4 linked regions of the Saccharomyces cerevisiae S288C genome follow. Changing the gene in region 2 together with the main gene of any one other region gives a genetic interaction. Each region holds a gene or a part of one and is shown on either strand. Other genes may lie near its edges. The genes, in order: ATG1, ATG11, ATG17 and STE50.

Region 1 (8,255 bases), on a different chromosome or scaffold from region 2:
GAAAACAAAATGGAGATAAAAGCAGTGGGACCATCAATACTCACTTTCCAACAGTCGAGGAAGGTAGTGTTGGATGTAGTATCGGGTCTGGAGTATTTACATTCCCAAGGGATAACGCATCGAGATATCAAACCATCGAACCTGTTAATTTCATCAAACGGAACGGTGAAAATATCCGATTTTGGCGTTGCTATGTCAACTGCCACCGGAAGTACTAATATACAATCATCGCATGAACAACTTTTAAAATCTAGAGCCTTAGGGACCCCTGCTTTTTTTGCACCTGAGCTTTGCTCCACTGAAAAAGAGTATTCCTGCTCATCTGCCATCGATATCTGGTCATTGGGGGTCACTATATACTGCTTGTTGTTTGGAAAGTTGCCTTTCAACGCCAATTCAGGATTAGAACTTTTCGACAGTATTATCAATAAACCCTTAGAATTTCCATCTTATGAGGAAATGTTGAATGGTGCCACTTCGGGAATCACAATGGAAGAATACACTGATGCCAAAGATTTATTGAAGAAGCTGTTACAAAAAGATCCTGACAAACGGATAAAACTAGCAGACATCAAGGTACATCCGTTTATGTGCCATTATGGTAAAAGCGATGCAGCATCCGTATTGACCAATTTGGAGACGTTTCATGAGTTGAAAGTTTCACCGCCCTCTTCATGCAAAAGGGTAGAATTGGTCAGCCTACCAGTGAATTCATCATTCGCCTCTTTAGATAGCGTTTATATGGAAAATTTTGACCACAATAACCTTAGGACTGGTGCTGACAGAAATTCAACATATTCTCCATCAATATACGACGCAAATACCTTATCACCCTCAGCATATCACAACATCGGTTCTAGAGAGTCATCCTATTCGTCCTTTTCCTCTTTCACATCATCCACCGCTTTTGCATCTCAGATCAGTATTCAGGATGCCCCAGCAATCGGTGATCAACAATGCTTGATAGGTGAGAGTGGAAGTTCATTAAGAGTGAATTCTTGTGAGTTTCCACAATATACAACTATGTCTCCTGTAGGAGAATATCCCTTTGAGAGTACGGAAGCAAGTTTGAGCTCTACTCTTACGCCTGTCGGTAATGTACCTCAACGTATAAAAGCCCACCTGGTAGAAGGGAAATCTAACAGCAAGGATGACCTTAGAATAGAAGCAGACGCATCACTTGTATTTGAGGCTAGCGACGCCCAGCGCACGAGAAGAAGAATGTCTCTTTATAAGCTTTAGCATGATATATGTAAATTATTTTAATAGATGTAATATATGATTAGAAACTTGATAGAAGGATCTAAGTTAATTGTCATGTCGGATCCTAATACCAATTCTTTTAATATTGTGTTTGTTTTTGAACGTTTATTATGACTTGTAAAATACTGTTTGTAACAACAAATTATAAAATGAATTTTAATGAACTCAACAAGTAAAAATAATAAAGATATTAATGACTTGTTAAAGCCTCCTCAATCAAATCATACATACATACATTTATATATATATATAGAACAAAAGGTTAAAGAATCAAATTTTGAAGAAATAAAAATTAGATTAAAAGGATATGTATAGCCAAAGGCAAGTACTAAACGCAACAAAAAAAAACTTAAAAAGAAAAAAACACACCGAAACCGAAGGAATTCAATAATTTCCTTAATTAACATTTAAACATCAAAATAAAACCCATCCAGGTATAAAAGAGCTGGATTTCAAGAAAAAAATCACGTAGAAATAAAAACAAAACAAAACACAAAGGGAAAATAAAATTTGAATACTTTAATGACGAACTCGTAAAGCATTTCGAGAGTAGCATAACATAATCATGAAGATACTTGAAAATATAGCAGGTCATTTGTACTTAATAAGAAAACCATATTATGCATCACTTAATTTTGGTGGTTCATCTTCTGCCTCAATATTTTCAACCTGTTTGCAATACTATCAATATACTTTCTTATGATTATTCTGTCATTTTCATCCAACACACTATGATACTTCTCTTTATCTTCAACGTCGTTACTTTTTAGATGTATGTTAGTTTTAAAAGGGTAGTCACCATAGGCATTCGTAAAATCATCATCGTCCAGAGAAGTTTCTAACATCCAAAGTGAAGTTGCATAAGCTAATTCACAGTTGTACAAATTTTCTCCTTTTAATTCCATATGTGCGGCCATCTTAGATATTTCTAATGCACGATCATATAATAGCTTTTCTAAATATACTGGCTCTTCCGAACTACCTTTTTCTTCCAAAGTTTGATTTTCAGCTACCTCAGAAGCATGCTTGAATCTCAAGTCGTTAATTTTTAATCTCAGGAAATCAGCTTTTTCTAAACATTCATTAAATTTTTCCCTTAGCCACTGTACCAACACGTTAACTCTTAGAGAACATGATTTTTCTTGAGATTCATACCACCAGTTGGACGTTACCTGCATAGATTTTGATAAAATGGATAATGCCTTCATATATAAGACAATGGCCTCATTACATAGAAGGATCATTTCCGAACGTGGTAGTTTATTGAAAGTTGCACTCAACTGAGATGTGGCAGATAAAGTTCTACCCTTTCCAAAAGTTTTCGTGGATAAGCAATCTTCCTTGTACTTTTTCAACGTTTCATCCTCTTCTTCTGCATCGTCTGAGTCTTGTTCTTCTGCAATAGCATTACTATCCATACTGCGCCTGTTCTCAAAGTTAGCCATGCCTTTTAATGTTGTTGATAATGGAACAATTTGAGAAAATTTCACTTCTGCATAAGAGTAAACAACAAATGCCTTTGCGGCCAGAGATTCCAAAATACTAACGATATTAGTATTATCTAATTTCAGTGTCTCTGGATGCTGTAGGTGATCTATTCTTAATATTATATTCTCAGTAAGTTCATGAAAAAGTTGGGAATTCAACAAAGTTTGACTGTACGGTGGGGAAGATGTGATTTGTTGCTGTTGCTGCTGTTGATTTGCACCACCAAACAATCTCGTTGATGCAATACCGAGGGCTCTTGATAATGCATTAGATGGATTCAGCGAGGATATAGACAAGCGTCTATCCACCAAAGATGGTCGCCTAGACCCATCACTACCTCCACTGGAAGATGATGTGGCCCTCAGTAACCTCGGATTTTCTCCTTGATTTTGAAAATACTGTTGATTGTTTGGAGAGAATTGCTCATTCAATAAGACGTTCTGATTTTGAGTTGAAGTTGGGTGCTTAATAGGATTTGGATTGAATCCTGCTTGAGCAACCTCGTCTGCCAATGAATTAACTTCAACCGATTTCTTCTCTACCACCACATATTCTCTTTCAAAGCTTCTATCTGAAACTAGGCTATTATGGTATTTATTATTTGAAGCCTTTTTATCTACGGCTTGTGTATGGTCTGTTTTAACGGCTGGGGCAGTTAATATATTGCTGTTCTTGAGGGCATCACTGAGCTCCGCGGGATTATCTGCCATTGATTGATGACCTGCAAGATTACTGTTCGGACTCTTTGGCTGTTTAGATAAATACTCAGAAACGAACATATTACTTTCTACAATACCTTTTGATTTGGATTCTAACTCAGGTAAATCATCTTCCAATTCATAAGAAGACAAGTCTTCGTTGACTACCTTGTTAGCAAAAAACTCCTCAAATCCTATTCTTTGGGCTGGATCAAATGTCAATAAACTACATATCAACTCTTTTAACTCTGGTTCAATATTGCAATATGAAGGAAACGTTATGACATCGTTTGCTCTTTTAATTTTCTTGAATAACTCCAAATGATTGGAAGCTCTAAACGGTGGGGTGCCACAGCACATTTCGAATACCACTGTACCGACAGACCACAGATCTGCTTTAGCGTTATATTTTTGATAATTCAAAATTTCTGGTGCCATATATAATGGTGAGCCACAAAGAGTTTCTGCTAATGACGTGTTTGGCAAAAATCTTGCAAACCCGAAATCTGCTATCTTTAAAATGGGTAAGTTGTAGATCCCAACAAATCCAAGTTCATGGAAGCTTTTTGAATCATGATATCCAATTAGGGGTGTAGATAATAGTAAGTTTTGAGGCTTGATGTCTCTATGAACCAAGTTTTTAGACCTCAAAAATTTCAAAGCGGACGCTAACTGCTGTAAATAACTCAAGACAAACGCTCTATGCAGGCCGTTATGGTTCTCACTCGGTGGAGGGTATTTTTCAAATACGGTCCTTAGTAGAGGATGATTCTCCATCAATTCTTTACGCCTTTTCAACAGAAATGTTAGGTCCCCAAGAGCACAGTACTCCATGATCAAATAAAAATCTGTTGATGTTCGTTCACAGTCAATAAGTCCGACGATATGAGGATGCTTGATTTTCTTCAAGATAGCGATTTCTATTTCCAAATTCTCTAGTAATTTCTTATTTTTTAATTTCGCCCTTGATACTTCCTTTATGGCTACATGCTGAGATTTGTCGGATGTCAGATGCCCTCTATATACAGTGGCAAACGAACCCTTTCCGATTTCTTTCTCAGCGGTGTAATTTCCTGCACTTGCCATTAGATTATGGTTCACAGAGGTTGTGTGATCTTTATTTTTAATGTCTCCCATTTTCTTAATTTCTCGTCTGGTGTTGTAAAAGAGATTTGAAAATATGGGGTAGCTTCAAATTCGTTTTGTGGAGATATCAATGATTATTCTCCTATCTCCTTTGCCTTATGTTTTTATTATATTATATGTTATTTTATTATGGGTACTATTACTACGATTGTATTATATCTTTTTATCTTCTATAGTACTGTTCTCTGTTTCCCCAGAAACTAAAAAGGGTAAAAGATGGCCTTGGTACTTAACTTAAAGGTGATGAAATGTGGCGTTCTAGAATTAACCTCGGCCTAAAAAATAAAAAGCTAAAAAAAAATAGTACGATCAGGAAGATATTAATAATATAAGCTCCTTTATGAGATGCTCGATTCCTTTTGTTGCCAACTAAATGACGCTTAGAATTCCATCGATTCCACGATCGATATAGTTACAAATCACAAACTGATGCTGATGGGGGAAATGGTTTAAGAAATCAGAGCCGAGCGGTTAAAAAGAAAAACAGATGCTTGAATACGAATGATATGCTTGCTTCTTTAACGGTATGGCTTTCCAGTAATAGTTACTCCGATAAGATTCATTACAGATACACGAAACGAACAAGGAAAAGATGATTAACGGGAAAAAAAGAGAGTTCCTTATCTCATTGATTTTAACTAGTGGGTTTTCCTTACATTACCGCCCAATCCCTTTTTTTTTTCTCGCTCTCACCGGCGGAGCGCGAGCGGAAAACGCCACCCAGGTGACTTTTGCGCTAAGTGTGGATCAAATACAGTGGTATTAGTCATTGATGTGCAGCGTAAAACGTCCGGAGCAGCTGTGTAATGCGGCTGTGTAGGGTGAATACAATAGAGAATATGACTAATTCTGGTATATAGTCGTTGTTTACAGATATCTTTCGTTACTTAGTGTCATTTAATTACTTAGTGTCACTCTATATGATATGTAATGCGGAGCAGCGGCAATGTATCTTATTTTTATTGTGTGTAGAAATAACCTTGTGGCAGGTTTCCTCCTTGCGACATTTGCTGAAAAGATAATGGCGCCTGTTGCTGTTGCTGCATCTGAAGCTGTTGCATCTGGATCTGCTGTGCTTGAGCCTGAGCCTGGGCCTGAGCCTGAGCCTGAGCCTGAACTTGAGCCTGTGCCTGTGCCTGTGCCTGAGCCTGAGCCTGTGCGACAGCAAGCTGTTGCTGTTGCTGTTGCTGCTGTTGCATAGCCATGGCGTATTGCTGCTGATCTACATATATCATTCCGGTAGCAGGATCGTAATACTGTTGAAGGGTACCATCGAAAACTGCTGGCTTTGCTTGTACAAAAGATGCTGAATTTGAAGTAAAATCTGGCGTGATTACATTTGTACCATCAAAAATAGCTGGCTGTGGGCCACTTGTTGTCGCACGTCTCCTGGGCAGGGGCGGAGTTGATGTTGTCGCTGCTGCCGATACACTATTTCTTGAACTTGAACTTTTTTCTAGATAATCGATTGCTCTATTGATATTTCCGTGAGCGGACGATAATGCATCTAAATTTTTGTTTGTATCACCGAAACCCATGTCCTTGAGTTCTGCCAGTTGCCTAGAATATCTGCTTCCACTGCTTTGGAATGAGTCCCTGGAACCGCCGTAGTCAGACCTATTATGGCCCCCTTTATAGAAAGAATGAGATCTGCTCCTGCTCCTACTTCTATTTCTTTCATCAAACCTGTCCGATTCCCCATCAAAATCATCCATTCTGGATCCAAAGTCTTCAGGCTTTATTTCATCATACCTGAATTTACCCAAAATATACTTGTCTCTAATGTAATGCTCCACGATGGCTTTGTCATCATCTCCATCAAAAGGAAAAGGGACATTTTTAGGATTCCAGAACCGAGCATTCCCCTTATTGCCTCCAAGACTCACTAATTCATCGATATCCTCTCTTGTCCATCTATCCATTGATAGTGATTTAACGTTAGAAAAGGCATCGTCGTCTCTGCTACCGAAAACTTTTCTATGAACAGAGGCACACCTACCACAAAGGAAAACCCCCAAATTAACTGAGCACCAAGTTGGGTAGAAATTACCACATTCACCGCATTTATTGGCATTCTCGGACGAATTAATCAACTCCTTTAATTCTCTGTCAACATGTTTTAAGCTATGGGAAGAACTCCTAAACCTCATTTTTGACTAAGTATAAATAAACTATAATCTGTGATTGACAGAACGCTGCCTCCATCTATATTAATGATTGATCAAGAGAAAATGTTCTTCTTCCACCCTTTTGTGAAGCATTTAGAGATCAACACTAACTTTCTTCAACTTACAATAATTTCCGGGTGCCCCCATTTATCGATTACCCGGATCCGCTTTGCATCATAGTGTGTCGTTGTCGAAACAAAAGCGCCGTATTATTTGGTCAACGTTTAATAAAGTAAAAGCAGCATTTGAGATGCTCTATACAACCTTCTTAATTGCAACCGACATAAAGGTATGTTTTTCTCTTCTTATTATGACAAGGGAAACTTGAAGAAGAATTCGTGTCTTGCCATAATTTCAGCATCATCGTCTCAACCTAAGCCTCTTCTCACGAAGGCACGCTCAAATATCTTTCTGGCTCTAAAAATCTTGAATAACGAACCGAATTTACCATCTTTCCTGCTTTTTTATGCGTCGAAAAAAAGTAAAATAACCGCCCAGATCACGAAATTGCATATAAAAGGCGATCTCCCGTCCCACCGTTATTCTTTGCGATATAGACTAAACGGCGGAAACTTTATGTGTAGTATCATAAACATTCAACAATGGTATGTCTAATAAAACCATCATGGTACACAGGACTGAACACTAACTTATAGACGGGTGCGTGCTACCCTCTTCTTATTATTAGGGGCCAAAGAGACAGACAGTATCACTCCAAGAGAAAAAGAACCGGATTCTGAACTTTTTTCAAGAGACGTACACATTCTACAACATCAAGGAATTAGAGAAAAGCATACCTAAAAAATGCGGAATCTCACCCATGATCGTTAAAGATTTAGTGCAACAAATGATTGATGAAGACGGCGTCATTTCGGTGGAAAAATGTGGTAATATTAACATCTACTGGTGCTTTAAAAATCAGACACTGCAAAAATTGTATGATTCAAGCGAGTTGATAAAAAAAAAGATACAGGAAGTAAAGTGTGATATTGCCACTTATAAACAAGAACTAGACAAAACGCTAGCAACTGGAAGGCGTAAAAAATTTACGGTAGGCCAAAAATCATACAATAGGGAGGCTCTACTGGAAAAGAGAAAAAAAATTCAGGATGAAATTAAGAAAAAGAGTAATAGTCTCCAAAAAATAGAAAGCATTAGATGGGATGCAGCAAAAATACAAGAGAATAAACAACAGATCCGCCTAAAAAAAGTGCATCTGGAGAAAACTACTGATAACATTGAGATTCTCATTGATTATTTATACAAGAAATTCTTTTTGAAGCCAGAACAGATAAGAAAAGAATTTGGAATTCCAGAAGAGTTCAAGGAATTTACGGAGGTTTAACCTTCATGCACTATACACGAAAGAACAAAAGTGTCTTGATTATTACATCTACATTTCCAGGCATAGAGCTTGCAGATTAGCCGCCCATAAATTTGCCACACTGTTTTCCGTGGCGCCACAGTCCGCGTTTGGTTATCCGGCTGACTC
Region 2 (9,080 bases):
TGGATTTTTAATATCTGCAGATGTGTACAGAAGAGATGAAATTGACAAAACTCACTATCCGGTATTCCACCAAATGGAAGGAGCCACAATTTGGAAACGAACGAAGGCTGATGTGGGCGTAAAGGAGCCAATGTATATCGAGAAAATCCGTGAAGATATCAGACAGGTAGAGAACCTTTTAAATAAAGAAAATGTAAAGATTACGGTTGACGATGATACTATACCTTTGAAAGAAAATAATCCTAAACAAGAGTATATGTCCGATCTGGAGGTTGATTTGTGCTCTCAACATTTGAAGAGGTCCATTGAACTGATAGTTTCTGAAGTTTTTAACAAAAAAATATCTAGCATGATCAAGAACAAAGCGAATAATACACCCAAAGAGCTAAAAGTCCGTTGGATTAACGCTTACTTCCCCTGGACCGCGCCCTCATGGGAAATAGAGGTTTGGTGGCAGGGCGAATGGCTCGAACTCTGCGGATGCGGATTGATTCGTCAAGATGTGCTACTAAGAGCCGGATATAAACCTTCTGAAACAATTGGGTGGGCTTTTGGCTTGGGTTTGGACCGCATTGCTATGCTTCTTTTTGAAATTCCAGATATTAGACTGCTTTGGAGTCGTGATGAAAGATTTTCAAGACAATTCTCCAAGGGATTAATTACTTCCTTCAAACCTTATTCAAAACACCCGGGATCATTTAGGGATGTTGCGTTTTGGTTACCAGAAGATAAACCAGATATTCATCAAGTTCATGAAAATGATTTGATGGAAATTATCAGAAATATAGCTGGCGATTTGGTAGAGAGTGTCAAGCTAGTCGATAGCTTTACGCATCCGAAAACTGGGAGAAAATCTATGTGCTACAGGATCAACTATCAATCAATGGACAGAAATTTGACAAACGCCGAAGTTAACACTTTGCAAGACATGGTGTGTTCTAAATTGGTAAAAGAATACAGCGTAGAACTCAGATAGGGATACGGACTCAAACTAGTTGCAGGTGTTTTACCGCAGCTGTATATATCTTGTAAATACTTTGTCAGGTTCTTTGTATCACTTCAATCTATGTTCATCTATCTATCTGTTTTTCTTAATTACTAAGCATTTGCGGCAATGCGATGACTACATAAAAAAAAAAAATTCGAAAAATTTCATGAGCCTTATTAACATGAAGATTCTAGTCAACAGTAGGCCATCTGTGTTTCCATTAATCGCTGCATGTCATCGAGCAAGAAAATCGTCATCCTCTATGGATCGGAGACAGGTAACGCGCATGATTTTGCTACAATCTTATCCCATCGACTACATCGCTGGCATTTCTCCCATACATTTTGCTCCATTGGTGATTATGACCCACAGGATATCTTGAAATGCAGGTACCTTTTTATTATATGCTCCACAACAGGCCAAGGTGAATTACCAAGGAATGTCAATGCATTAAAAGGTGAAAGACCCGTCACGTTCTGGTCGTTTTTAAAGAGAAAGAATCTTCCGTCGAATTTGCTCAACCATATTCAAACTGCCATGCTTGGACTTGGTGATTCATCTTATCCTAAGTTTAACTACGGCATTAGAAAGCTACATCAGCGCATTGTCACACAATTGGGTGCTAATGAATTATTCGATAGATTGGAGGCTGACGACCAGGCTATGGCTGGTAGCAATAAGGGTACAGGTCTCGGAATTGAATCAGTATATTTTGAATATGAAAAGAAAGTCCTAAGCTTTCTTTTAAGTAAGTACCCCAACAGAAAGGTCAATGGCCAAATAATTAAGAGGGAAGAATTGGACCCTGAGGTTTACCTAGAGCCAGCATCCTACCTACAGCTTTCAGACGAACATGCCAATGAAAAGTTCACTAGCACCAAGGTTATATTCGAAGGTGATGAATCGTTAAAGGTTGGCAGAGTTAATATAAACAAAAGGATTACATCTGAAGGTCATTTCCAAGACGTGAGGCAGTTCAAGTTTAGTAATGTGGACAAGATTCAAGAAAACTATGAACCCGGTGATACAGTAACCATATATCCTTGCAATACAGATGAGGATGTTTCAAGATTCCTAGCAAATCAAAGCCATTGGTTAGAAATTGCGGACAAACCATTGAATTTCACCAGTGGAGTTCCTAATGATCTTAAGGATGGTGGATTAGTTCGCCCGATGACTTTAAGGAACTTGTTGAAATATCACTGTGATTTCATGAGCATTCCTAGAACAAGTTTTTTCTTGAAGATTTGGACCTTTGCAACTGATGTAACTAAGATGGAACGTGGCCAAGAACAACTGAATGATCAAAGAGAAAAATTGCGCCAATTTGCTACTGATCAAGATATGCAGGACTTATATGACTACTGTAATAGACCCAGAAGGTCAATTCTTGAAGTACTGGAAGATTTTATCTCCGTAAAGTTGCCCTGGAAATATGTGCTAGATTACTTGCCCATCATTAAACCAAGGTACTACTCTATATCTAGCGGCCCTGGGGATCCTAATATTGAATTAACAGTTGCGATAGTAAAATATAAAACTATCTTAAGGAAAATTCGAAGAGGAATTTGCACTAACTACATTGCACGATTGCAAGAGGGGGAACAGATAAGGTATAAGTTACAAAATAATCACATAATCAAAAAGGAATTTTTGAATAAACCTATGATTCTTGTCGGACCGGGTGTCGGTCTAGCACCATTATTATCAGTGGTTAAAGCGGAGATATCTAAAGATATCAAACTCCTCTTCGGTTGTAGATATAAAGATAAAGATTATATTTATAAAGATATGCTGGAAGATTGGTTCCGTAAGGGCAAAATTGCCTTACATTCATCCTTTTCCAGAGATGAGGAAAATTCACCAGGTGTTAAATATGTCCAAGACTACTTATGGAGATTAGGTGAGGAAATAACTAATTTGGTAGTTAATAAAGACGCCGTTTTTTTCTTATGTGGCTCATCAGGTAAAATGCCTATCCAAGTCAGATTAACATTCATTGAAATGTTAAAAAAATGGGGCAATTTTAGTGATGAAGAAACTGCCAAAAAATACCTGAAAGAAATGGAAAAATCTGATAGATATATCCAGGAAACTTGGTAGTCGATAACAAGACTTATCGCATTATAATGTTAAATAGATACATAATTAAAATCTTGTCATTTGTGACAAACGTTTAGCACTGTTCAAACTCCCTGGTATGAAACCACAACCGCAGTGACCTGAAACCAAACTGAGCCCTTTGGTAGTCTAAATGGATTATTAGAGGGGCTATCTGCTACGAAATGTTCCAAAGTGACAATTCTGCCTACAAACCATTCTTTCCCCTTCGTCAATCCTTTTTCGTCCTTTAAAAAATATCTTGTGCTTTCTTCAAAAGCTGTAAATGCAGCCCAAGGCCTCATCAGTTTATTCTTGTCCCTGCCAGATATACTGGCTTGATTGATTACATTACTATGTATCACCGAGGGAGACGATTGTATAGACATAGCATCCAAAGGCGGTGGAGTTGATAAATCAACAGATGAAAATGATGAGCTCAATGATGAGGTGGAAGACGACATAGACCCGACAGAATTAACGTTTTCTCGTGTTGGCAAAAATAATGCTAAATCGCCAATTTGAAAGTTCCTCAAAGTCACCTTTTCCCTTTGGAATCTCTCCAATAGCGTTCTCTTGATCTTATTTTCTTTAGTTAATTTTTTGGCCAAGGTCTCAATATCCTTGAATCTCCTGATAACGGCAACTTCATAAAGCTTATTGTCATATAATTGAGTGATATTCCCCAGAAAAATGCTTTGCTGTGTATCCTTTTCAGATCCATTGGCAACTGACTTTATTAATTCATACTCATCTTTCAATTTCTGGAAAACCGGACTTTTTATTAGAGAATTATCATGTGCGTCCAGCATTTGTGTGCTTTCATCCAGTATATTACTTTGGGCGGTTCCCTTTTTCAATCCCTTGACTCGTCTAATTTGGATGTTATTATTATTGTCGAAGGTTAACAGCAACCCAATGTTCTCCAAAATGAAAATATTTGTCGATATTATATCAAATATTCTATCTTGCAGAGTCTGTGTGTATGCAGATATCTGGTTTTCCCTACCTGGGTCCTCAGCAAGAGGAATGGTTTCGAATTTCTCACCTTTTTCCATCGAGCTTGAGTTAGTCTCAGCGTAACTTTTCTCTGAAGTCACAATTTGTTTACCGAGCCTTTCAATATCAGCCTTCAACAAATTGACCTCTTGTTCATGCTTCTTATTAGATTCATCCAGATCCATTTGCAATCGTTCCCTCGATTTGCTAACATCATCATAGTCACCTGTTAGCTTTTCTATCTTTTCATTGTCTTGGCTAATTATATCATTCAATTGCTTTTTGAAAGAGGCATTGAGGGTAAAAATTTCAGTTCTATGCGATTGTTCTTCATTAGTTAACCTTGCCAATTCTTGATTCAAATTAGTCAAAGTTTCGCGATAAGCTGTCTTCTCCACCTCTAGATCACTTATTTTTTTCCCCATTTCCGAAATTTGCATTGATTTTCGATTATTTTCTTCTTTCAATAGTTGAAGTTGGTGTAATAGATCATCCACATTACTCTCTAACTCTTGAATTTGATGATTATTAGCTTGCGAAACACTATCAATGTTCACTTCAGAAATATTGGCAGGCTCTAGTAATACAGATGCTCCCAGGAATTTCTTCTTGTTTATACTCGTAGCAGAACCACGAAATGGCTTAAGATGGGTATTGAGAACACCTTGAGGCCAATGGCCTATGTCGGAATATTGAAACTCATGTAATAGCGATTCTAATTTTTTTATTCTTGTTTTGTATCCTTTGACTACATCATCACTTTTCAAGGCAATAGACCCTTCAGGGGAAATGCTATTGCCATTAGAACTATTATTGTTATTATTTTTGAAATTGGAATATATTATATGAAATCTCTTCGTCTCAAAAAGTGTTTTCGAAAGTAGATCAATGATCGGTTCAGAAACATCTGTTTCTTTAATTTGCGTCATATAATTATCAATGGCTTGCGATACTTTTACCAGGTCTTGGCGGTAATTTGCTATAGAATTCTCATTTTCATCTTCCTCATCTTCATTTGGTGGAGAAGTATGAGAGTGATATTCGTTTAGACGTTTGAAATCAGAGGAAGACAATAGATCTTCGCAAAAAACAGTCGCGATGGAACCGAAATTTTTAACCCATTTATTTCTTGTTCGTAATTCATTTTGTTTGAACAACTCTAAATCTTGATTAAAATTTGAGATAAATGACAAAATTTGTTGGAACCATGATAGCCTACGATATTTTTCGATTAAATAAAGCCCATATATCAGAGGCAAATCTTCTACCTGTGCAAATTCTACCTCATATTTCTTGTATAGCTCTAAATCTTTATTACATTCATTCAATAATAGTCTTTTAATACCTAGGATTTCCATCTGGGTGAATGCTATGTTACCCAAAATGGCTACTGCATGCTTTTGTAGACTTTTTTTTAAATCTATTAGTTCTCCTATTTGTGAATACAGCGCTTGTGATATAGTGAAGAGAGTTTTCACTGATTCTTTTTTATCCTTTTCCAACATCACATTCATGCTTTTCAAAAATTCTTGACTATTGAATTCTTCTTCTTCTTTATCAAGTACATTTCTGCTTCTTGTTCGCATTTCTGATACCAGTACCTCAAAGCTCTCTGCCATTTGGTCTTCAAGCTCGAATTTAGATTCATTCGGGGTAAACATTTGCCGCAGTCGATCGATGTTTACTGTTATAATATCTCTAAAACTTGCATTTTCGTCAATTTCCCTCTTAATTTTATTCAGCTTACCATTGATTGAATGATTTAGAATCTTTACAGATTTTTCGTTCTCCAGGAGAGATTCAATATTAATGAACTTTTGTAAAGAATCACCCTCTAAAGCAGTCAACTTACTCAAGGTGTCATTGAAGCATTTTTCCCATTTTGAAGTCATACCATTGTCTACCAGCTGATTTAAAAATTGAACGTTTGAGTTATACAAACTTTCTACATCAAAGCAGTACAGCTTCAAATATTGTGAGCAAACGGTTAAGCCATCAAAAATACGCTTAATATGGGCTATTATGTCTGGTATGAGGCTCTTAAAATAATGTACATCTATTTCTAAAGCGCTTAGCCAACCAAGGTTCGTCGTCAGTAAGCTAGTTACGGAATGGTAATTTAAACGCGAAAGATCTACGTCTGCGTCCTCCAAAGGCGAGGGCATAGGCTTGATCATAATAGTATCGCTACCTTGGTATTGAGATATATGACTATTCTTAATTAAATATTCCAGAGTCTCTGTCAAGTCGTTGGAATTAGGGGAGTTCATGGGATTAGAATCCTTAGACGTTAAAAGATTTGTTGGTGTCGGTTTACTAACAAGTGAGAATAGTCGTCTGTCGTAAACGTAAAAATCATTTAGAGTAAAAGACCTATTAATAAGCAGCTCTTTAAACATCGACGGTTTTAGTTTGTTACCATAAGGTAGTAGAATCAGCAGCTGATCGGGAGGAATCTTCCATTTCCTAGCAATGAACTGTTTAAATTTGTCCAGGGAAACGAAAAAATCAACATTCGTAGTTATACATTCTCCAGATATTGCATTTATGATAGTGGCTGTTGTCTGCAGTGGTGTTATTTCTTGCTGGGTAGGTGCAGTGCTATATTCATCAGCGTCTGCCATGATGTATAAAAGAAAATAAAAGAAGTACTTTCCGAACAACAACAGTACACTAAAATAATCGTTGTTCAAAGGAGGACTACTTTGGTTCTGATTTGAGAAAATGGTACTCAAATAAGGGCATCGCTATTATATAGTTCCATTCCTACCAAGAAACCGGGTAGCCAAAAGCGATAAAAAGGCTCTCCATGGCAAGCCTTATTAAAAATAATAATCATGAAGAACAAAGTTTCACAAGAGATTACAAGATAAAAAAGCCACTACTACAGAAAAGGCGTTGGGTCAGGACATGGAAATAGTGTACAAGCCATTGGACATACGTAACGAAGAGCAGTTTGCTAGTATTAAAAAACTAATAGATGCGGATCTATCAGAGCCGTACTCGATATACGTATATAGGTATTTCTTGAACCAATGGCCCGAGTTAACGTACATTGCCGTTGACAACAAGAGTGGAACGCCTAACATACCCATTGGTTGCATAGTGTGTAAGATGGACCCGCATAGAAACGTGAGACTGAGAGGATATATAGGAATGCTAGCCGTAGAGTCCACATACCGCGGGCATGGCATAGCAAAGAAACTAGTGGAAATTGCCATAGATAAAATGCAAAGGGAACATTGCGATGAGATCATGTTAGAAACAGAGGTGGAAAATTCGGCGGCTCTAAACTTATATGAAGGAATGGGTTTCATCAGAATGAAACGGATGTTCCGCTACTACTTGAATGAAGGGGACGCCTTTAAACTGATATTGCCGTTGACTGAAAAGAGCTGCACTCGGTCTACGTTCCTAATGCATGGCCGGCTGGCCACATAAAAGGAAAAACACTCGATGATGATAAAATATATATTAATAATACAATTTTTTTATTTATTTATTTAATCATATGTATAGATATAGAAAAAGGGCAGTAGAGAAAAGAGGAATAGAAAGGAGAGAGATAATAAAGCAAGTTTCAAAAAGAACAAGAGGAAAAGAAATTAAATCACACAGACAAAAACGCGGGGAGGAAGTATCCCTAAGCCAAAGTGGCGTTATATAACTCCTTTTCGGATTCATATCTCTTCTTATCGGCCTGGGCCTTGGCCTCGTAAGGCTGCTTTTCCTCTGGCGTTAGAGCCTTCCACTTCTCACCCAACTTCTTGCCGACTTGTCCAAATGTGATATCTGGATTTTCAGAACGAACAATATCTCTGTTTTCGTTAGCGAAAAACATGTAGGCGGACAAAGCCCTCTTAGGGGCATTTGGGTCCTTCTTCTTTCTAGTGGTTCTCTTCTTAGGTTCTCTTGGGGTGACCATTGCGACTGTGCTTTACTATGTATAGGGTAGTCAATTGAGCAAAAACAGGAAAAAAACACGTCCCAAAACAGTCCTTCTTTAACAGTCGGTACCAGTAATAAATACTGTGTTGTTTGTTTGCCCACCGCTAAATAAACGAACGGCGAAAAAAATAGGCGGCAAAAGGCGGGTGATTCGAAAAGTATCGCGCGCGACGAGGCGTGAGGGTAGAATTCGGCGCCACTAATTTGTGACACTTGAACAGTATTTAACGTCGTGCGATACATCATATCGATAGAAATGTAGACGTGCTCAACGCTCCAAGAATGAATTGCACACTTACAGATAATACCAGAGCCATAAATGTGGCCTCCAACCTCGGTGCTCCTCAACAGAGGACGATTTTTGCCAAGGAGAGAATATCCATCCCAGGATACTACGAGATAATCCAATTCCTGGGCAAGGGAGCCTATGGGACAGTGTGCTCAGTGAAGTTTAAGGGTCGAAGCCCAGCTGCTAGGATAGCGGTAAAGAAGATCAGCAACATCTTTAATAAGGAGATCCTTTTGAAAAGGGCCATCCGTGAGCTAAAATTCATGAACTTCTTCAAGGGCCATAAAAATATTGTAAATCTAATCGATCTAGAGATAGTGACCAGCTCGCCCTATGACGGACTGTATTGCTACCAGGAACTGATTGATTATGATTTGGCAAAAGTCATACATTCGTCCGTGCAGCTCTCGGAGTTTCATATCAAATACTTTCTTTACCAAATCCTGTGTGGGCTAAAGTACATACACAGTGCAGATGTCATCCACCGAGATTTGAAGCCTGGGAACATATTGTGCACATTGAATGGCTGTTTGAAGATCTGCGATTTTGGTCTCGCTAGGGGTATTCATGCCGGATTTTTCAAGTGTCATTCCACTGTGCAGCCCCATATAACCAACTACGTTGCTACAAGATGGTATAGGGCGCCTGAGCTGCTTCTTTCCAACCAACCGTATAGTAAGTCCGTAGACATATGGGCTGTAGGGTGCATTCTTGCAGAATTCTATGCTCGAAAGCCTGTTTTCATGGGGCGTGACT
Region 3 (6,535 bases), on a different chromosome or scaffold from region 2:
TGAAGTATCAGGTAATAATTTATACGTATACTACATCGAGACCAAGAAGAACATTGCTGATGTGATGACAAAACCTCTTCCGATAAAAACATTTAAACTATTAACTAACAAATGGATTCATTAGATCTATTACATTATGGGTGGTATGTTGGAATAAAAATCAACTATCATCTACTAACTAGTATTTACGTTACTAGTATATTATCATATACGGTGTTAGAAGATGACGCAAATGATGAGAAATAGTCATCTAAATTAGTGGAAGCTGAAACGCAAGGATTGATAATGTAATAGGATCAATGAATATTAACATATAAAATGATGATAATAATATTTATAGAATTGTGTAGAATTGCAGATTCCCTTTTATGGATTCCTAAATCCTCGAGGAGAACTTCTAGTATATCTACATACCTAATATTATAGCCTTAATCACAATGGAATCCCAACAATTACATCAAAATCCACATACTCTACAAATTTAAAGAAGTTTAACTCCAACAATAGCCGTTACTAACAAGAATCCCAAAAAGTATCAAATTATTCGCTGATTCTTCAAAACTATTTGAAAAAAAAAATCTCACATTTTTGATATTCCAACATAAGTAATTGAAGGTCAATGATAGAAGCTATCAATAATATTATATAATTTTTAACTCAGCAGATATCGGAAATAAAAGACTCCATGGCCAAGTTGGTTAAGGCGTGCGACTGTTAATCGCAAGATCGTGAGTTCAACCCTCACTGGGGTCGTTTATTTTTTTTGCATTAAATTATTTAGTGAGCTAAAAACTCCATTAAAATAGTAATCGTATAAACTAATATCAAGTGAAGCTGACTACTTGATTAGGCTCACTACTTAGCCACATTCGGGCTTTCTTCTGTCTTTCTTGGAAAATAACAGCTCCATTTGATCTTGATATAAAAAAGGTCCTTTGATCCCATCCGAAACTCGTTTCCTTCTGCCACAACTCTTAACAGTCTAACTACGAGAGTCTAGCGAAGTATAAAAGTTTAAACAATAAATTTTGGAAACATTTCAAGGGCAAAATACCAACAACTATCAAATAAGGGGAATTAATAGACTCCACTTTAAATTAATCCATTGTCTAAAAATGGTAATGCAATTATTATTTATTTAGTAATCTAATCAATTTTGTTTTTCGACAATAATATATAAATCGTGCCTATCTCACCTCTTTTATAGGTACTTTCTAGAGGTCAAGGGCCCATAAATAAATTGGCTTAAAGGTCCCACTGGAATCCTCCACCCAAAGAATATCATGTTTCAAAGCAACTTCCATTTTTTTCTTCCCGTTTCGGATCTCAAATAAAGGAACTATACAATCTTGGTCTCTTCCATATGGCAGTTGAGTGTACCTATTTGGTATTTTGCTGATCAAGTACCCTTTTTCCAGGCAGTAGTCTTCTACCACATCCTTGAAAGAGCTGCTAACTTTTCCAAGCGGAATATTTTGTACAGTATAGGTAGGTTCTTGTTCGCTTTGACTAATATCGTCGATCACTTGTGTTTCCATTAAGTTTCGTAAACCCTGTCTCAAATCGAAATCTTCATCTAATGTAGATTTATCAAGGTGGTACCTATGAGACATAGCGAATATATTATAGCTTTTTCTGATCTCCGATAGTTCTATTTCTGTTGGTAAAGAGTGCTCAAATACCGTATTCATCAGCCAATTAAGCCACCACTTTGACTTGTGTAAGTCTTCCACTGTACTATAAAGATGCCATTGATAGAGTATTTTGTTTATATTATTAAAGGTTCCCCGCATCATCAATTCATACTGTTTTGGATGAAAATAATGGGTATAACTTCTCAGTTTTTTCATAAAATAGAAAAATCCAGAATCTTTTTCTTTCCATTCCTGTTTTTCCTTCCAATCCTCTAACTCGTAGATGGGGTCATTATGTCTTTCCCACAGCTCGTCCAGGAATTTAGGAAGAAACTCTTTACATAAAATTTTGTAATATCTTCGTTCGCAGATAAGTTCTTTGATAAATATAATATCAGAATTAGTGATACAAAATGATTCCCTATGGTACCAATTTTTACAATAAGCAAAAAATTTTGCTTCAATCTTGTCCACAATTGTGTCTTTGATCTTATCGTCAATTAAAACCATAAAATCCAAGACCCATATTCTTGGCGAAACATGGTCTACTTCATCGTGAAGTTCCCAATTATCTAATTCCTGTAATAGCTTTGGATAGACGAATTCCTCCATGATATGCTCTTTACACCCGATAAAACTTAGCACTTGTTGGAAATCCAGTAATAGGGTGATAGCGCTGTCGATTTTTGATTTAGTCATATCAAACCCTTCCCAAAATTTTTTGAGTTTGGGATATATAACTTTAAAGATTGTTGTTTGTGTCCTGTTCAAAAATTTCGAAGTTGTATCCATTCTATATGCGAGTAGTTCTATAATTTGCGTTAACTCATCAAGTATATCGTTTGGCTTTTCTAAATGATCCAAATCAAATTCTATTAGTAATTCTTTTCTCAATAAGCAGGACGTTAGCCTATCTATGAGCTCGTCGTCGGACAATTTTAAAATAGCACCAATCTTATCATACAGGGAAACATGCTTGCTTTCGTCCCTCAAAGTAACCTCCAATTCAGAAAGAAGCCTCTCTTGTCCATAATATTCTTTGACTTGCACTTCTAACGGAGAGGTGCGCTGACGAATAGCTTCCAAACTTTTTTCAATACCCAGCAGCTCTTGCAATATCTCCACAACAACATCTTTTTTCGGCTTTGGTACTGCATTTAAAGGGTCTAATTCTTTTAGGATACTCTCTGGTAATTGTACCCCTGCTAACCTCAATTCTCTCAGTGTTCGCACTATAGTCATATCACCACTATCATTTAACAACGCTTCGCCTAAAACCTCCGTGGAGGTTTTATTGAATTTGACTTGTTCTATACCTTCAACCACCTCATCCTCAGAGCTCAAGTAATCCTCATTTTCACTGTGATAGTTACTGGAGTTGGTATTTGAAAACATTCCTAGACCTGCATTGTGCATAGGTCGGCTTTGGGTTTCTATTGGTGTAGTTATACCAGAACCATCCTTCCCAAGGCCTTTTCCCGCAACATATCCCATACTCGAAAGTAACTTCGCACCAATACCATATGTCTTCGTTAATTTTGAGATCGTTGGGGCATTGCCGCTACTAGTTTTCAAGGCATCATTAGTGTATGTCATGTCACTATTCATGCTTGAATTATTATCTTCCTCATCGCTATAATTATAGGAATCGATTCTTCTTTTTTTGAAAAAGAACTTTTTATCTGTGTTGGAGTCCGAATCCTCCATGTTTTGGCGTACTGAAGGCTTAAGTTCTTCGACCTCTCTCGGTTGTACTATTTCGAAATTTTGGATTTTTGTTATTGTTTTGACATAATGTAAATACTAGATGCGCGCTCTAAGGCCTCAGTATTAAAAATTGCAAGATATCCCTAACTTGATAATTATTTGAAAGTCGCATAACGTACGATAAATTCGATACTGCGAGGATATTATCAACGTATTTAACACCTATGAACGAAGCAGATGTTACAAAATTTGTTAATAATGCCAGGAAAACGCTGACCGATGCTCAACTTTTATGTTCAAGTGCTAATTTAAGGATTGTAGATATTAAGAAAAAATTGTCATCTTGGCAGTTGAGTATTTCAAAACTCAATTTTCTAATAGTTGGCTTGAGACAGCAAGGAAAGTTTCTTTACACTATTTTAAAGGAAGGCATTGGGACAAAGCTAATCCAGAAACAATGGAATCAAGCTGTCTTAGTGGTCTTAGTTGATGAGATGAAGTACTGGCAATATGAAATCACTTCTAAAGTACAAAGGTTGGATGGTATAGTAAATGAATTGAGCATATCAGAAAAAGATGATACCGATCCCTCTAAACTAGGAGATTACATCTCGAGAGACAACGTTAACTTATTGAATGACAAACTGAAAGAAGTGCCAGTAATTGAGCGTCAAATTGAAAACATTAAGCTTCAATACGAAAATATGGTCAGAAAAGTTAACAAAGAACTGATTGATACCAAGTTGACGGACGTAACTCAAAAATTCCAAAGTAAATTTGGTATAGATAACCTGATGGAAACAAATGTTGCAGAGCAGTTTAGCAGGGAACTAACGGACCTTGAAAAAGATTTAGCAGAGATAATGAATTCATTGACACAGCACTTTGATAAGACATTGCTGTTACAAGATAAAAAAATTGATAACGATGAACGTGAGGAGCTGTTTAAGGTGGTACAAGGCGACGACAAAGAACTATACAACATTTTCAAAACTCTGCATGAGGTAATTGATGACGTGGACAAAACAATTCTTAACTTGGGTCAATTTTTGCAGGCAAAAATAAAGGAAAAGACAGAACTACACAGCGAAGTTTCTGAAATAATAAACGATTTCAATAGAAATTTGGAATATCTATTAATCTTTAAAGATATTTCCAATCTGATTGATAGCTTCAAAAATTCCTGTACACAAGATATTCAAACAACTAAGGAACTTTGTGAATTTTATGATAATTTTGAAGAAAGCTACGGTAACTTAGTTCTAGAAGCAAAGAGGAGAAAGGATGTGGCAAACAGAATGAAAACTATATTGAAAGATTGTGAAAAGCAGTTGCAGAATTTAGATGCTCAGGACCAGGAAGAACGTCAGAATTTTATAGCGGAAAATGGAACTTATCTTCCTGAGACAATCTGGCCCGGTAAAATTGACGATTTTTCTTCCCTGTACACTTTAAATTACAACGTGAAGAATCCTTAGAAAAAAGGAAAAAAAGGATACGGTACAAAGATTCAATAATTGTATCAATATTTCGAAAAATACTTTATCAAAAAAGCAATACTTGAAGGAGAAAGGAAAAAATTCGCTGTCTTCTTCACTTTTACGACAAAGAAAAATGTGCCCTTTTCAACTAAAAGTCATGAATGAATAAATAAATGATTACATATGCGTATATTTTATAGTGAACAACTTCTGACATATTATCCCGAATGTGAGTAATCATGCTTGTGCTGTGAATCTGTGTTGGTGTTTGGCTGTGACCCTGCCAAAAAGGTGCTCGAAGTGCCGGAAACAATTCCACTTTTATCCAAACTGCTCGTAGTGGACGAGTGGGATAACGTTCTTGTTAAATATTTTCCAAAAAGTAAACTGTTTGGGCCAAATGAGTCGCTATGTTCTAATACAAATTGGCTATGATTGGACCCTGAGGTGTGATGATCCCTTCCAGAAAAGCTTGCCTTTTTATTGGGGTTCTTGTGCGAAATTATTCGAGCAGTAATCATGTTATTCCTGCTACGATTGGCCTCACTGAGAGTACGACTATATCTTTCTATCTCCTCAGCGAAATTTTCCTCAAAAAGACGCACTAGAAGATCATGTGATGGTTTTAGATCCTTTGATGGTAGTAGTTCTGCATGCAACGTTAGACAGCGACCTAATACTGCAACAAGCTCATCAAAAGCTAGCGTCAATCTTCCTAAATCATCAGTACTGAACTGCTTGGATGTGGAGGGTTCTAAAAAGGCCTTGTACTGTGATATGCCTCCATTAACTGGAGCTGATATTGTTCCCGTAATATTTGTAGAAAGCTCGGTAAATAAATCGTTCACATCACCGTGGTCCTTCAGAGTTTTATTGCACATGTTTTCAAGCCCATATAACTCCTGTATTTTAACTTGTAAGGAACGAATTGCATTTTCAAGTGGAGAAAGTTTGCTCTTCGTAACCTTTACAATTTCTGATCTATTCATTAGTGTTGGAAAAGTATTCATAGTATGATACGTATATTCCTCCACCCACAGGTCAGTGACTCCTTTTGCGCCTGGCAAACGTCGAGAATTACTGAAAGTCCTCAAATCTCTATTCTCAATGTACATCCGCACTTTGTTGTTAATTGAGCTTTTCTTGTCACTACTGTTGTAATTATCGGATATACTTAAGCACGGTTCGACGGAAGCTACATGAATGTATTTTCCCATTGGAGGATTCATCAATAACATATCCACTTCTTCTTGTGAGTGTACAATATTTGACCCATGATAGCTTCGTAGAAGCCTGTCATGCATAGACGTAATGTGTTCAAATGGGAGACCCTCAAAGACGAACGATTTATTTCTTAATGATTTTGGAAAACCAAATCCCATGAAAGAAACTTTAAAATACGTTGGAACCAGTCTATCAATGGACTGTAATCTGGTATAAATGCCTGCTATTTGGTCATGTACAAAGGCCAGCCCGTTTAAATCATAATTGATCTCATCGTAGGCTTTTATCAAGTCCTTGTATACCGCTAAAGCTTTTTCTGGTTTTTGGCCTCTCGAAAAGTTTCTTGCGGATTCCTTAAGAAGATATTCCTTCCTCTCAAATGAAGATTGCTCTGGCAATGGCGGGAAAGATATTGCTTCAAGAGTATCATTAGAATCCCAAGCGTACGTACCTGCCAAGAGTTCTAGACTCAAAGCTGCTTGAACAAAG
Region 4 (6,379 bases), on a different chromosome or scaffold from region 2:
AACATTACCCCTGAAGGTTTAGAAAACATCGGTAGAGCTGTTATGTGCGTTGCCAAGAAGGAGGGTCTAGACGGTCACAGAAACGCTGTGAAAATCAGAATGAGTAAGCTTGGGTTGATCCCAAAGGATTTCCAGTAGATTATTTCTAACTTGGAAACCGAACACTAACGAAAATAATATGTATATATACATATATATATCAAACAAAATACAGTCTTGAATGAATAGAGATACACTATGTAATGAATGGTAACGTAAAAATTGTAATTTTGGATTAAAAGAGAGGTAGTAGCAAGAGTGGGTATCAAATAGCGATTAATAAATGAATATCCTTATTGTCATCACTTCGAACGACGTAAGTTAAATTGGAAAATTTTTCACTTTTTGGTCACCTAAGAAATAAGCAGGAAAAAGAAGAGAACATTGAGAGGATGGTAAAGCAAGAGGCATTTAGGGCGAACGAACTAGGTAACAGATAACAACCTCAGATAGAGTGTTACGGGATGGGTATTGAAGACATTAGCGCCATGAAGAACGGGTTTATAGTGGTGCCGTTCAAATTACCGGATCACAAGGCACTACCCAAAAGCCAGGAAGCTTCGTTGCATTTCATGTTTGCTAAAAGACACCAGAGTTCAAATTCCAACGAGTCTGACTGTTTGTTTTTGGTCAACCTTCCATTATTATCTAACATAGAGCACATGAAGAAATTTGTCGGGCAGCTCTGTGGGAAATACGATACAGTATCGCATGTAGAGGAACTACTATATAACGATGAATTTGGATTACATGAAGTAGATTTATCGGCATTGACCTCCGATCTGATGTCCTCCACTGACGTCAACGAGAAGAGATACACACCAAGAAACACGGCGCTATTAAAATTTGTTGATGCTGCAAGTATAAATAACTGCTGGAATGCTTTGAAAAAATACTCGAATTTGCATGCCAAACATCCAAATGAACTATTTGAATGGACATATACGACTCCATCATTCACAACTTTTGTTAACTTCTACAAACCACTGGATATTGATTATTTGAAAGAAGATATTCATACACATATGGCAATTTTTGAACAGCGTGAAGCTCAAGCACAAGAGGATGTTCAAAGTTCTATAGTGGATGAGGATGGATTCACATTAGTTGTAGGAAAGAACACCAAGTCATTGAATTCCATAAGAAAGAAAATATTAAACAAAAATCCATTATCCAAACATGAAAATAAGGCCAAGCCAATTTCAAATATAGATAAAAAGGCAAAGAAAGATTTCTATAGATTTCAGGTCAGAGAACGTAAAAAACAGGAGATCAATCAACTGTTAAGTAAATTTAAGGAAGATCAAGAAAGAATCAAGGTAATGAAAGCTAAGAGAAAATTCAATCCATACACTTAAACCACCATCCTCGTCATCATATTCAACATATCTCAATATATCTATAAAACTAATAATATAATATAACATAATATAGTATAATAGTATAAGTTTAAAGGCATCAATAATTTTTTTCTTTCATATATATTCTGCTAGCATACATGTTATCCTATTCGTGTAAGTTTAGTATGATGATGTGCATGACAACTGCACATTAGAGTCTTCCACCGGGGGTGACATTGTCACTTCCGTTCATCATTGCTACTTCTTCGAAATCACCTCTTCTTCTTAACATAATGGCGGGGTGCAAACCCTGTTGCTTTAAGTTCTTGAATATGATCACAGGCTTTTCGTTCAATTCTAACAGCCTCTCTTGATCCCCATAGCAAATGACCAAGACATATTGTCTCCAATCCTGATCTGCTAAGTTATGTCTTTTCATTGCGTTTTTCAAGATCCGTTCGCAGGAGTCTTCTTTAGATGCACGCAACTGTTTTAACGCCTCGTTAGGTGATGGCCCCGGTGTGTTCGCTGTTGAAACGGCAGATGGGTGAGATTGGTTTGTAGATATTTGGGGTACTTTGTTTTTGCTATCCTTGTGCAAAGATTTTGAGTGGGAAAGACTGGGTTGCCTAAATACCGTTACCGGGGATTCTCTCCTTGACGGTGATTGTCGGTTATGAACTGTGTCGAAATAGTCTGTTTGTGAAAGAGACACACCGTCACTACTGGGTATAATTGTGTTGTTTGAAGAAGGTACCGTAGTGGACACTCCATGTGTGTTAATCGGAGAAGAGCTTGAGCTGGTCTTCATTACGTCCAAGACATCCATCCTCAGCCTTGTGTACTGCGATTGAAATTCTTGCAATTTCGCAGATGTAGTAGTGTACAAGTTTTTCAGTACCGTTATCATGTCCTCTTGAGTCTTGTCGTCCTTCCACTCCAACTTGCTGTCTCTCATCTTATTGATCAGTATCTTGAATTTTATGGCCTTATTCAAATCACCGTCACACAAGTCCTGGCAATCTTGCAAGCACAATTCCGGCAAAAGATCTCCTACAATATCATTTTCTCGCAGTCTCTGACATAATGGATCGGTTTCTTCCACCTCCAGCGTGGATATACACCAAGTTATCACATCATCAACCGACCACTGGGAAAAGTCTTCATTATTCATCAATATTGTGCCATTCACGTCCAGATCCGGCGAAGCATCGTTTGATCCCTCATTGATGGCCTGTTTACCGTCCTCCATCTGATTTGCTATCTCTGCTAGTACGACCTCTGTCTTTTCGAGTCCTTCGACCTAGCTTCTTTGTTATAATTAGCGATAGTATTTTTCAGCTTTGCCTATTGGGAAATATGTCGCCGATGATAGTTTAAATAAAGGGAGAAAGGAAGCAATATCAAAAAATGAATAAGTGGAGCAGGCTGTACGTTATAACTGTACGCAGGACTTTTCCAGGGAGAAGAAACATTGTACTGACGCAGTACTGGAATAAGAGCAAGAAAATGAGTGACGAATCGAATGACGTGAAGTGGAACGATGCCCTGACACCATTGCAGCTGATGGTGCTGAGAGATAAGGCCACTGAAAGGCCCAACACCGGTGCGTATTTACACACCAACGAGTCCGGTGTCTACCATTGTGCCAACTGCGACAGACCGTTGTATTCGAGCAAGGCCAAGTTCGACGCTCGTTGTGGATGGCCCGCATTCTACGAAGAGGTATCCCCTGGAGCCATCACATATCATCGTGACAATTCTTTAATGCCTGCGAGGGTGGAGATATGTTGTGCAAGGTGTGGTGGACACTTGGGACATGTGTTTGAAGGTGAAGGCTGGAAACAGTTGCTAAACTTGCCCAAGGACACCAGACACTGTGTGAACAGTGCGTCTTTAAACCTCAAGAAGGATTAAATGTACTATATATATATATATATATATGTGTGTATGCATACGTACATACTTCTTCAAATTTTGTTATGATCACCGAAAGGGTTTGAGATCGTGGACGGCTGATAAGAAGACAAGCTCTCTTCCTCTGAGGACTCGCTATCAATATACCTGCTGTTATCCTGCTCGTTTTCATCATAAATACCGTCATCGTACGAGCCGTGATCACTTTCATCGCTGCTATCGTCCTGAGCGCTTCGGTCGTCGTATGCAGTCAACGCAGCCACCAGTTCATCATTGGCATGAATTAAGCTACCCAGAAACTCACCCTCCGTGACCAATTGCAGATATCTAAGAACTTTCCTTCTGATCGCCCTTGCCTGGATGAACTTGGACGTGGCCTCTTCATCGTCTGTGGAGAACTTGCCCTTGGGCAGCCCGATCAGCGAGTTCTGTAACGACACAGCAGACGCGAGAGCATCGCTGATTATGAGCCGAATCCTGGGTGCCTCTTTGTTCATGTTGATCTGTGGAATCCTATACAATCTATCGGCACTAGTCAGCGAGTTGGACTGGTACAAAGTGTCGTCGGCGCTATCATCCATGAAGTTAGACCGTCCGCCAGAGCCTCCGCCGCTACGGCGGGAACGGCTGCTCTTCGAGTACCTCTGTTTGACTGTTTGACCCAATTGATAAAGACCTGAATACGCCCTCGCATTCTCAAGGTTGTTCTGCGTAATATAGTTTAGCCACGAGATAGCATACGCCGCGCACTTCTTAATAATCCTAGGCTCATACTTTTCACCGGACCCGCTGTTTTCAGAGTTCGTAGCCATCCCTCTCAGCCTTTGCAGCAGCTTGTCATCATTGTACATGACTGTAAACTTCACGCCTTGTGAGATGAACAGATCCAAGAGGTCCAGAGTCCTGGACTGCTGCAGCCGGTTCCCATACTTTATTTTCTTTCTAAGTGCTCGCGCAGCTTCTTCTTGGTTCACGGTATAGTTATAATCGTTGTGATCTGCTTTGATAAGCTGAATCAAGGGAGCTAACTCCACTTCTAGCGTATAGTCCCTTGAAGAGACAATTCGAAAGATCGTCTCGGTGATAGCTGTATGCGGATGATCCGAAAGAAACCCCATGTTCTTGTTTTGCCTGCCTCCAATGCTTTATCACTCTCTCACACTGTCACAATCGTGTTGTCTTCATCCTTAGAAAGGATACCACATTGATAAACAACATATATAAAGTTTAACTATTACCTTGATCACTTTACACGTCAAGGTCAAAACAGTTTCATAGTTATCACCTTGAAGTATGGCTCCATCATCTATAAAACATGAACTTCATGCACAAGTGAGCTGTCTACAGATAACGAGCAGCCGCAACGGCGTTTCCAGATTGCGATGCTTGTTTTCTTTATCTACTACTGCCTTACTACCCCCCTTGCGCCTCCTGATTCACGTGATGTGGGAATTTTGTCTTGAAAGGAGTAAATATATAAAATAAATGAAAAGTTTATATAATATAAAAAGGGACTTTAGCATAAAATAAAGAACTTCGTGCAGTACTTATACGAGCATTCGCATAATTATACAAATAGACAAAACCTCAGAAGGAAAAAAAATGGTATCTCAAGAAACTATCAAGCACGTCAAGGACCTTATTGCAGAAAACGAGATCTTCGTCGCATCCAAAACGTACTGTCCATACTGCCATGCAGCCCTAAACACGCTTTTTGAAAAGTTAAAGGTTCCCAGGTCCAAAGTTCTGGTTTTGCAATTGAATGACATGAAGGAAGGCGCAGACATTCAGGCTGCGTTATATGAGATTAATGGCCAAAGAACCGTGCCAAACATCTATATTAATGGTAAACATATTGGAGGCAACGACGACTTGCAGGAATTGAGGGAGACTGGTGAATTGGAGGAATTGTTAGAACCTATTCTTGCAAATTAAGGGCAGACAAAGTTTTTTCCATGCACACAGGTTTATAATGAGCTTATATATATGTATATGTATATGTATACAAGCATGTGTTTGTATTTACAGGAAAAAAATCGATGAATATATTTAGTGTGTCGGAAGAGTGCTTGTGAAGGCGTCTTTAGCAGTTCCGAAATACGTTAACCCACCGAATTCCGTTTGGCAGACTCTTTCCTTCCTACTGCTCTTGACGCCCTTGCGGTACGTCCGATTTTTGACTGCCTCCTCGATGGAGATGGCATACGACATGGGCACCACTTTAGGCTCTCGTACGTCTCGTTCTCCCCAAACTTTTACTTGGCCCATTACTTTAAGAACATCGTCCATGCCGCTTATTTTCCTGAAATTAACATCGCAAAACTTCATGAACAAATGCAGGGTATAGTAGGCATCGTTACCGGCATTGTGTAGAAACGCATGCGGTATCTCGAACAACCGCAGAATCTTGCCCAGACTGCTGCCCTTTTCGCCATACGATTTCCTGTAAAACTGCTCAGTGTCCAAGATGAACACGTCTAGATCACCGGGAGTTTCAGCCAAAAGCAGCGTATGGTCCAGATGGCCTTCATACCCTCTGCCAGGGAATTTGACACCAATAGTCTCCAGCCACTTAAGATCCCCGCTCACGTGATGACCAACAAATGCCCTTGACCATGTCTTGTCTTCTTCGGTCACCGGGACCAAGTAATAGTTTATTAGTGATTGAATGAAATGCACGCACTCTTTCAAGCTCAAAACATAGCTTTCTCCCAATAAGTAGCAATCCTTGTAGTCACAGACCCATTTTTGGTTTCTAAGTTCCAGGGACTCCTCGATAATTAGGTGGTAATTCTTTGTAATTGGAACCATTGACGGCACCATATTTTCCCTGGGGTCATAAATTGAAATCCCAATTTCGGTGATTACGTTCTGGTTTGTTTCGAAAGCCTCTATATCAAGACAAAAGCATATTGCTCTCTGAGAGGCCATCAGCCTGATGCATTTCTCCAGATAAGCAAATTCATTCGAGCGTGAATGTGCTTCCACCATGGGCCAGAACGTCTTCCTCACGCTGTTTTTCTCGTCAGCCAGTAGTTTCTGTTCTGTCTCTAGGAGCTTGATGGTACCATTCATTCCTAACA

The links.
Region 1: of ATG11 (region 2) and ATG1, changing one enhances a phenotype caused by changing the other (phenotypic enhancement), as found in Saccharomyces cerevisiae (2 studies listed by BioGRID).
Region 3: of ATG11 (region 2) and ATG17, changing one enhances a phenotype caused by changing the other (phenotypic enhancement), as found in Saccharomyces cerevisiae (5 studies listed by BioGRID).
Region 4: mutations in ATG11 (region 2) and STE50 together harm fitness more than expected from each alone (negative genetic interaction), as found in Saccharomyces cerevisiae (2 studies listed by BioGRID).

The regions. Positions count from the first base shown.
Region 1 is NC_001139.9:156,396-164,650, reverse strand, and holds ATG1 (serine/threonine protein kinase ATG1), read right to left. Parts: upstream 4,587-8,255; coding exon 1,893-4,586; downstream 1-1,892. Other genes in the region: serine/threonine protein kinase TOS3, read left to right, coding at 1-1,242; GTS1 (Gts1p), read right to left, coding at 5,555-6,745; MND1 (Mnd1p), read left to right, coding at 7,366-7,368, 7,452-8,108. UniProt on the Saccharomyces cerevisiae protein: Serine/threonine protein kinase involved in the cytoplasm to vacuole transport (Cvt) and found to be essential in autophagy, where it is required for the formation of autophagosomes.
Region 2 is NC_001148.4:657,963-667,042, forward strand, and holds ATG11 (autophagy protein ATG11), read right to left. Parts: upstream 6,712-9,080; coding exon 3,175-6,711; downstream 1-3,174. Other genes in the region: MSF1 (phenylalanine--tRNA ligase), read left to right, coding at 1-976; TAH18 (NAPDH-dependent diflavin reductase), read left to right, coding at 1,220-3,091; peptide alpha-N-acetyltransferase MAK3, read left to right, coding at 6,998-7,528; NHP6A (high-mobility group nucleosome-binding protein), read right to left, coding at 7,731-8,012; YPR053C (uncharacterized protein), read right to left, coding at 7,826-8,281; mitogen-activated protein kinase SMK1, read left to right, coding at 8,318-9,080. UniProt on the Saccharomyces cerevisiae protein: Involved in cytoplasm to vacuole transport (Cvt), pexophagy, mitophagy and nucleophagy. Recruits mitochondria for their selective degradation via autophagy (mitophagy) during starvation, through its interaction with ATG32.
Region 3 is NC_001144.5:970,201-976,735, reverse strand, and holds ATG17 (protein kinase regulatory subunit ATG17), read left to right. Parts: upstream 1-3,565; coding exon 3,566-4,819; downstream 4,820-6,535. Other genes in the region: mRNA splicing protein SPP382, read right to left, coding at 1,215-3,341; guanine nucleotide exchange factor DCK1, read right to left, coding at 5,041-6,535. UniProt on the Saccharomyces cerevisiae protein: Autophagy-specific protein that functions with ATG13, ATG29, and CIS1/ATG31 in response to autophagy-inducing signals as a scaffold to recruit other ATG proteins to organize pre-autophagosomal structure (PAS) formation.
Region 4 is NC_001135.5:59,693-66,071, reverse strand, and holds STE50 (Ste50p), read right to left. Parts: upstream 2,632-6,379; coding exon 1,591-2,631; downstream 1-1,590. Other genes in the region: HIS4 (trifunctional histidinol dehydrogenase/phosphoribosyl-AMP cyclohydrolase/phosphoribosyl-ATP diphosphatase), read left to right, coding at 1-138; RRP7 (Rrp7p), read left to right, coding at 504-1,397; MXR2 (peptide-methionine (R)-S-oxide reductase), read left to right, coding at 2,790-3,296; LSB5 (Lsb5p), read right to left, coding at 3,350-4,414; dithiol glutaredoxin GRX1, read left to right, coding at 4,899-5,231; GFD2 (Gfd2p), read right to left, coding at 5,346-6,379.